Oryzias latipes: one gene and its partner. The protein of the gene in region 1 purifies or fractionates together with the protein of each later gene. This does not show direct contact. Links are inferred from orthologs where the notes say so. Each region holds a gene or a part of one and is shown on either strand. Other genes may lie near its edges. The genes, in order: pip4k2a and S-adenosylhomocysteine hydrolase-like protein 1.

Region 1 (3,823 bases):
TTGAAATGCCAAAGAAATAAAACCTTTTAAATTATTTCTATTTTACAGGGTTCCACTGTAGCAAGAGAGGCCAGCGACAAAGAGAAGGTACTGTCCCCCGCCACTGCGAGCCGCAGTCAGCTGCTGTACATATTTACACATATTTAAGCGTCTTCACTGACTAATCTGTGCATTCTTAAAAAGTAACAACATAAAGTAGGAAACTTCTGGTAAAAATCTCTCTTTGATTCTATAGCTGCTCATTTCCCTTTCAGTGCCAGTGTGCTGAAATAGTTTTGATCAAATCCCTGTGCTTTATTTCTGGTGTTTTTATACCTTTCAGGTAACTTCTTTGATTTCAGTCAGTGTGTGGTATTAAAAGAGTTCTAATCCTGATCTGCTTGATCAGCACTCTGTGTGATTAAACAAACCATTACATTTATTGAAGTGTCTGTCTTTCAGACCAGTTTCATCATGTCCTAATTCAATCAGAAACTTTGAATAAACTCAAAATCCCAAAGCCATGTGGACTGTTAGACGGAAAGAGGCCTGTATTTAAAAAAACAGACACAGCTTCTAGCAGGTTCACTGTCACGACCCAAATGGACCAACACAAAGTTTGGTTTTGCTTTGTTTCCTTTTGGGAAACAATGACAGATGAAAAGATCCATCCCCTTAAGTCAGGACCCACCTCGTGACCTCTATCCCTTTCTAACCACTGCACGCTAGTTTTGTCCCCCTCTTTCCCTGCTTCTGCCGTTCCATTAGTATCCCTGCTTGCTGGCTGTGTGTGACGGGTTGAGTGTGTGTTTTAAGTTTGTTGTGGCTTTGATAACTCGTCTTCTTGTATAATTGGTGATGTTATGAGTCTGAATGGTGTATTTACGTGTGTGTTTTTGCGCGTCTGTTTGTGTAATATTTGAAAATAAGAAACATTTCTTGATGTTGGAGATGAAAATGAGACTTTTAAATCTTTTTGAGGGTTTTTGGCGTTAGTCATTTCACAGCTTCTTCCACCAATAATTTTAACCTTATTGCAATTATTTCCAATTTTGCTTCTTCTTTTTTTGGCAGTTAAGCAACTTTGAGTATCAGCATTGAATGTTTTTCACCTAACCTCTTGTGGTTTTAGTTATATTACAGTTCTAAGTTCTGAAATAATGTTTATTATATTTATTTATTTTCATTATATGTCTGGAAAATGTTGCTCGGTGAATGTTTTTTTTCTGTGAGACTGTCCCTGTAGTGGCTGTTAGAGCCGTCTGCTGCGTCGGTCTGACATGCCAGGCGTCAAGCAGTAAGACATCAGGGAAACCCCCCTGAACTAATTTTAGAAATCAGCAGATAAAGCAAAAAGCAAAACTTTATTAAAGCCAGAGCAGCTGGGAATTCAGCACACATGTGAGTCTGCCGTTAGGATGGGTTTTTGTGTGCAGCACAGCTGTCAACACACTTGCTTCTTCCAAATGCAATTGAGAAACAGCAGAAGAGTTTTTCTTAGAAAAAAGGTTTTTCTTTAACCTCAAGGTTTGGCACTCTTTTAAACAAAGTGTGACAAACTGTCGCTAATTTTTATTCCTCTGAAAAGGCTTTTTGTCAGAAAGAGTAACCATCATAATTGAAGTTTATCGAGCAGTTGTCTCAGCCTTTCCACTTCTAAAGGATTACTGTCTTGAAAAGCTTTAGTTACGACGATGAAGGTGTGCGATTACACTTTCAGAAGTGGGTTGGATTGTTCTCTCGTGTTAGCTTCCAAACAAAAACAACACAAGCGAGTTTTTCATCCTACTGCATGGCTGGCCTCCTTTTAATGCATGCGTCTGCATGGAATGCAATTAATTGTGCATCCCTTGAAGAACTACATTCTTTCTAATGTCTTTACATGTGGACGAAAACCAACCTCTTTCATTTGCACCTTCTTTATCTGTTCTGGGATTTATAGCTTTAAACATTAGAGGGCTTGAACTAAATTTGTTTCTTTAATAATCTCATCACGTCACATCAGCTAATGTTTGTTGTCTTTCTTGGCTGTGATGGGAGCTATATTGTTGACATGTTGTGGATTCTAACCCACTGAATTTTAATGTGGAAAATGTAAAGATTGTGTTTTCTTGGTTCATAGAAGAGCACTTGTTTCTTCTCAGAAACTCTCAGCACCAGTTTTTATTCTGTCCTCTTATCAGCTCAGCGTTGAGCACGCAAGGCTTTCATGTAGCAATACGACTGGAGTAAGGTGTGAGTTTACCTGTTAGCTCATCTCCTTTGATGTAGGAATGAAATCCCTAGATTTAACCCCAGATCTGATAAAGCACAGAACAAAGTTTATTCATTTCAACGTCATTTTTGTTTGTTTGTTTGCTTTGCTTGCTTTTGCCAGAACCCACCAGCAGCAAAAGCGCAAGAAAAACCTGCTGCAATTTCTTTTACTTCTTGCATCCTTCAGTGGCAGTTGCTATCCAAATAGCACCATCAAACCCTTTCAAAACAATCTGTATACACTCTAGTTCAACTTTGCTTCTATGGCAGCATTATTTCTTACCAAAAAGTATTTTAAATAGAGGAGGAAACTGTAAAGGGGATAAAAATAGCTCAAAATAACTATTATTATCTTGGTTGAAAAATCGTTCGATTAGTGTCTATAAGCTCTGTTTAAATCATTTCTTTGGTGAGCAATCTAAGGAAGACCACAGCTCTGTACATTCATAGTTGAAGCTCAAATTAAATCTTAATTGATGATTTTACTGTCTCATTTGAAATTTAGATTTACGTTCATCAGATGTTATCTGAAACCGTTGCTTTGCTGCTTTAAACATATGAAATAATTATTAGAAAATGGACTCGTCTGAAACCAATCACAACATTTGTATGCGTGCAGCTCAATTACATTTGCGCTAAGGGCGCGGCATGGCACATCATGTATCATTGCTTTGGTGGTGTGTTACTTCCTGTTTTGAGTGGTTTTTATGACACAGCATTCATATGATCATACAAGGCATATTCCTCAATCTGGGACAGTTTTTGAGCCTTGAATGAGTGAATGTTATAAGGTTGTCATTAAAAATGTAGGAACTCCTCTTAAGTAAATTGGGGCTCAGTTTAACAAAAATCAGCAAATATAGTATGCCAGTGCTTCTATAACAATAAATATATTTGTGAACCCTCTCTTTCTTTATGCACTCAGACACACTGAAGACTACAAATCTTCCGCGTTTTACCCTTTCCAGTCCTTTACCCCTTTAAACACTTGTGTTCTGTTAAACTTGAACCTTTACCTCCAACTTGCTTCCTCCATTCTTCTCTTTCTTCTCTCCTCTCCTCTCCTCCACCCCTACATCCCTTCCTCACTCCCCCCTTTTCTAGCAGCCAACCCAACCAGAGGATGCGCCCCCTCGGCCCAAATCTGGTAATGTTCAGCAAAGGCTGCAAACACTGCGGATTGCCACGCGCTTTTACTGTGCCATGAAACACGTAAGAGATGTAAGAGAACCAGGGCTCAAATACTAGGCATGATCTATTATAAACGTATTTCATTGTACTACATATCCACAGTGGTACAGAAAAGTGTTCGCCTGTTTTGCATTCCTCAGGTTGTTCCATTTAAAAAGATGAGAGAGGTCTGTGATGTTCGTCATAGATACACTTCAAGTGTTAGAGACGGAAGGCAAAAAATAAAACAGGAGATCAAATTGTATAATTTTAAGGTCTGTTTTTGTGTATTAGTGCAGAAAACAAGTATTTAACTCTTCTAAACAAGCAAGAATTCTGTCCCTCACGGAACTGTTACTTCCTTAAGAAGTTCTATCCTCCACTTGTTACCTGTATGAATGGTTCCTGTTTGAACAGG
Region 2 (3,823 bases), on another chromosome or scaffold:
TCGGAAGAACGAATCAATAGTTTGCTTGCTCATAGCTCAGACGCACATATCAGGTTGTGATATTTGTCTCCGTTTCCTTCCCACAGATGTTTACGCTCGCTCGATTATCTCTAGGCCCCTCCCCCTCCACGCATTTTAGCCACTCACAGTGGCTTTCCCTATTCTTCTCACACGCAGTGGCCGCCTCACACACAGGCATCACGCGAGAGTGTACGTCCCCCTGTTTTCATGAGTATGTGCGCGAGTGTGCGTGTCTGCCTGCGTGCGTGTGCGCTCGCGTCTCATTGATTATTTCATTGATCATTGACGTGCCCCTTCCACGTTTAATGTATAAAAAGTACGAAGGGTGGGGGAGGCAAATTTACTGGTCGCACATGTGCGACTGGATGTAAAATTCAGTCACACACTCTCAAATTTTGGTCGCAAAATGCGACCAATTGGTCGCAGTCTGGAGCCCTGTAATACAGTAAAATAACGAATAATAATTATAGAATAACGAAAAATTAAAAATACCTCCCCTCCCCCCCACCTGACGATATCTTTGTCCATCCCGATTGTTTACTGCAAACATCGTCGACTGCCAATTTAAGGGACATGGCCCAACCCTACTCTGTAGATCTGAGAGTTTCTCTGTGAACATTGAAACCAACATGACTCATCCTCATTTCTGTTGTAGCAATCAATCAAGAAATGTTTCAGAGTTTCCTCTTCATTATGGGATGTCATGTTGTTTTTTTTTTTTACAAAGCATTTCCTCTTGACTCGGACTCTGACAGGGAGTCTGTTGAGTGACATAAGCCAAGCGGGAATGTTTTTGTTTTCTCCTTTAATTGGCCTCCATGTGAATGTTCCTGTTCATCTTTTATGCATTATTTTTGCTGAAGAGCCAATCCGGTTTACGTTGAGACTCTGACATGTATGCACGGGCTCCTGAAAGTTCAATACAATCCAGTGTTCCCTTGTGTGTGGTGGGGGTTACGGTCTAAAAAATCCCCAGCAGTTGGTGAAATCCGTGACGTTGGATTCCGGATGTTCTAAGGCGGTAGACCTCCTCACTACACCCTTTTCTCACACAGACATGAACCTTTTCACACTTTTCTCTGTTGTTTCGACTCTCAAAGTTCAACCCCTCATAGAGAAATAAGTCCAGTGTTGAAGACAAAGATCTGATCCACTTACGTAAACGTGGAAAACTGGACGCATTCTGTAAAGGAGACATGGCATGGACCGGATTGAAGGAATAAAGAGCCAATCAAGACGCAGAACACAGTGTACTGTTTCAAAAAGAAAAATGGCACTGAAAAAAATGTGTGAAACAGCGAGAGCGAACCATTTCATAGCGGGGGGGAGCAGGAATGCGACTCCTGTTCATGTAATCTGTCCCCCAAGGACATCCTGTCTGTTTTTACCCATACTGCATCTCTTCTCTTCAAACAGGAAGAGCCGAGAGCACAAAGAAGAAAACTGCGTCTTTCTCACTCTGCATTCGTTTTCTTTCCGAGGCATTTTCCTGGTGGTTTTTCAGATTCGCACTTTGGAGGGGGGCGTGACTCTGTAGATGACTTCAGGTGTTTGGTCTGTAGTCTGTCTTGTATTCAAGCTGTTGCTGTGCAACGACACCAGCTCAGTGAAGCATACAAATGGGACCAGACCAACCAGCTGAGTGTGAAAGTGCCCTCAGGGAAGCGATCTAGTAGCCCTTGTGCTATCCTAGGCACTTTAACATTGGGAGTGGGGTCATCTAGACCCACTAGACAGTGCTCTGAACCTTTTTTCTTCAATGATTTGTGATCTTCACTGGTGTCCATGGATAACATGAAATCTTTCCACCTTTATCCACCTTTGTCATGGTAGGGAGAACACGTCAATGGAAGGGGGGGGTCGTCTAAAATAGCACAAGGGGTAAAACGGTGATGATGTTTCTACGACAAACTGATGTGATGGAAGTTGTTGTTTTCTGAGCTTTGATTATGGGTGATATACCACCTATGCATGATTCGGTTAACTTGGGGCTAACTTTTAATGATCATAAGCCGGTTTTCTCTGTTGCTATTTATTCTTTGATCATCTCTGAACACGCTTTCACTTTCCACAAATGGTGAACCTTCTGTGTCAAACCTCCACAGCCTGAAGAGAACCACAGACGTCATGTTTGGAGGCAAACAGGTGGTGATCTGTGGGTACGGAGAGGTGAGATCCTTTTTGGAACATCACCACATTTCTCACAAGCATGATCATTTCTTCCATATTAAAGTCCCATTCCTAGCTTCTTTTGATCTATTTTCAAAGTGGTGTTTTAATTAAGATGATGCCGTTTTTAGGCAAAATCAAAAACCCTCGGTCGTTTTCTAGGACATGGTTTCTGCAGAGCGGCAGGAGTTCATTACACAACTATAGAAAAGGGAAATAGGTAAAAATGCTATTCCAGTGGGCTGTGACATGTTGGGACTAGTTACAGCAGGGGTGCTCATTACATCCATCAAAGGATGAGACGGTAGCTGGCGGGACATCAAAGATTGATAAATATATTTTTAAAAATCCGTCAGCGACTCATCCTCCTCGGCGAAATATGTCACTTGATTGACATGCAGAACGGCCAATCGAACGTCCTCTGAGAAGTGCGTCGCTGTGTTTAACTACACGCATTTTCTTTCTTTTTTCTCCCGGCACGCAGCAGGGCTTCTGCCCCCCCCAGCCTGCTGTTTGATCGCCGGGGGTTAAGTCGGCCTAACCTCGCTTTAGAAATGTCACCCCCCCCATCACATGGTTTACAGCACAGCATGAAACGCCATCATTCCTGCTTTCTGTAATGATATATTACTACAAGAATAATATTAATACACATGACAAAGCCATGTTTTTACAAAGATTGCTGAACTCTTACTGTGTAGTTTTTGTGTTGTTCGTAAATAAACAGCGTTTTTGACTGGAGATGCATTGATTGGAAGTTGTTGAAGTCGAATAAAGTGACTTTGGTGCATAATCACTATTATTGTTCTACACAGACTGCACTGTCATCTCACAGAGATTAGAGTGCTTTTACTGTATTTTTTTAATGATTATTACACAAACATGCATTTTAGAATAAAAGTACTGTATACGTTGTCCACTTTGAAGGCCTCAAAGTTGACGGTTAGAACCAGATTACAAAAACTATAACATGAATAAACTCAGTAGGGGGGGGATTATATAAACTCGCTTCTTCTCACTTCTTTTCAGGCCATAAATCGAGCTCTACTTGACTTTAGTTAATGATCCCTGTTTTTAATTAAGCAAATGTGATTTAACTGTTTTTTGTTTGTTTTATTTTCTGTTTTTCTTTATCTATGCATTTCATCATTTGATATTTGAGTTTGATAAATCTGTTAAAATTCTTTATTGCTTTGACTATAATGCTTGAAATAAATCCATCAATCAATTAATCAATCAATCAAGTAAAATTTAAGGTGACCTTAGTGCACATGCATAAGAACAAATGTATGTCTAGATCTACACCTTTTGGAGGTTGTCGTATCAAAAGTAGCTCGCATGCCAAAAAAGTGTGAGCACCACTGAGTGACGGACTTACATGGAGATTTGGCAGCAACGGGTGTCTCTTTTTTTGTGGTGTTGCAGGTTGGAAAAGGCTGCTGTGCTGCTCTGAAAGCTTTGGGAGCCATAGTCTACGTGACAGAAATCGATCCCATCTGCGCCCTGCAGGCTTGGTAGGAGAAAGAACCACTTCTGCCAGCGTGGCGTGAGCAGACAGAATATCTAACAGTCTGCTGGATTACTGATGCCAAAACCTTTAGCTGAATCCATTTTCATGTCAGACAGGCCTGAC

The links.
Region 2: the proteins of pip4k2a (region 1) and S-adenosylhomocysteine hydrolase-like protein 1 purify together in Homo sapiens (co-immunoprecipitation; 3 studies listed by BioGRID and IntAct, counting the BioPlex papers as one, with this or other methods). This does not show direct contact. The link is inferred for Oryzias latipes from reciprocal best matches to the Homo sapiens genes PIP4K2A and AHCYL1.

What each region holds. Positions count from the first base shown.
Region 1 is NC_019878.2:14,730,163-14,733,985, forward strand, and holds part of pip4k2a (phosphatidylinositol 5-phosphate 4-kinase type-2 alpha), read left to right. Parts: intron 1-48; coding exon 49-87; intron 88-3,339; coding exon 3,340-3,456; intron 3,457-3,823. UniProt on the Homo sapiens protein: Catalyzes the phosphorylation of phosphatidylinositol 5-phosphate (PtdIns5P) on the fourth hydroxyl of the myo-inositol ring, to form phosphatidylinositol 4,5-bisphosphate (PtdIns(4,5)P2). Has both ATP- and GTP-dependent kinase activities.
Region 2 is NC_019863.2:2,336,844-2,340,666, forward strand, and holds part of S-adenosylhomocysteine hydrolase-like protein 1, read left to right. Parts: intron 1-2,126; coding exon 2,127-2,190; intron 2,191-3,615; coding exon 3,616-3,704; intron 3,705-3,823. UniProt on the Homo sapiens protein: Multifaceted cellular regulator which coordinates several essential cellular functions including regulation of epithelial HCO3(-) and fluid secretion, mRNA processing and DNA replication.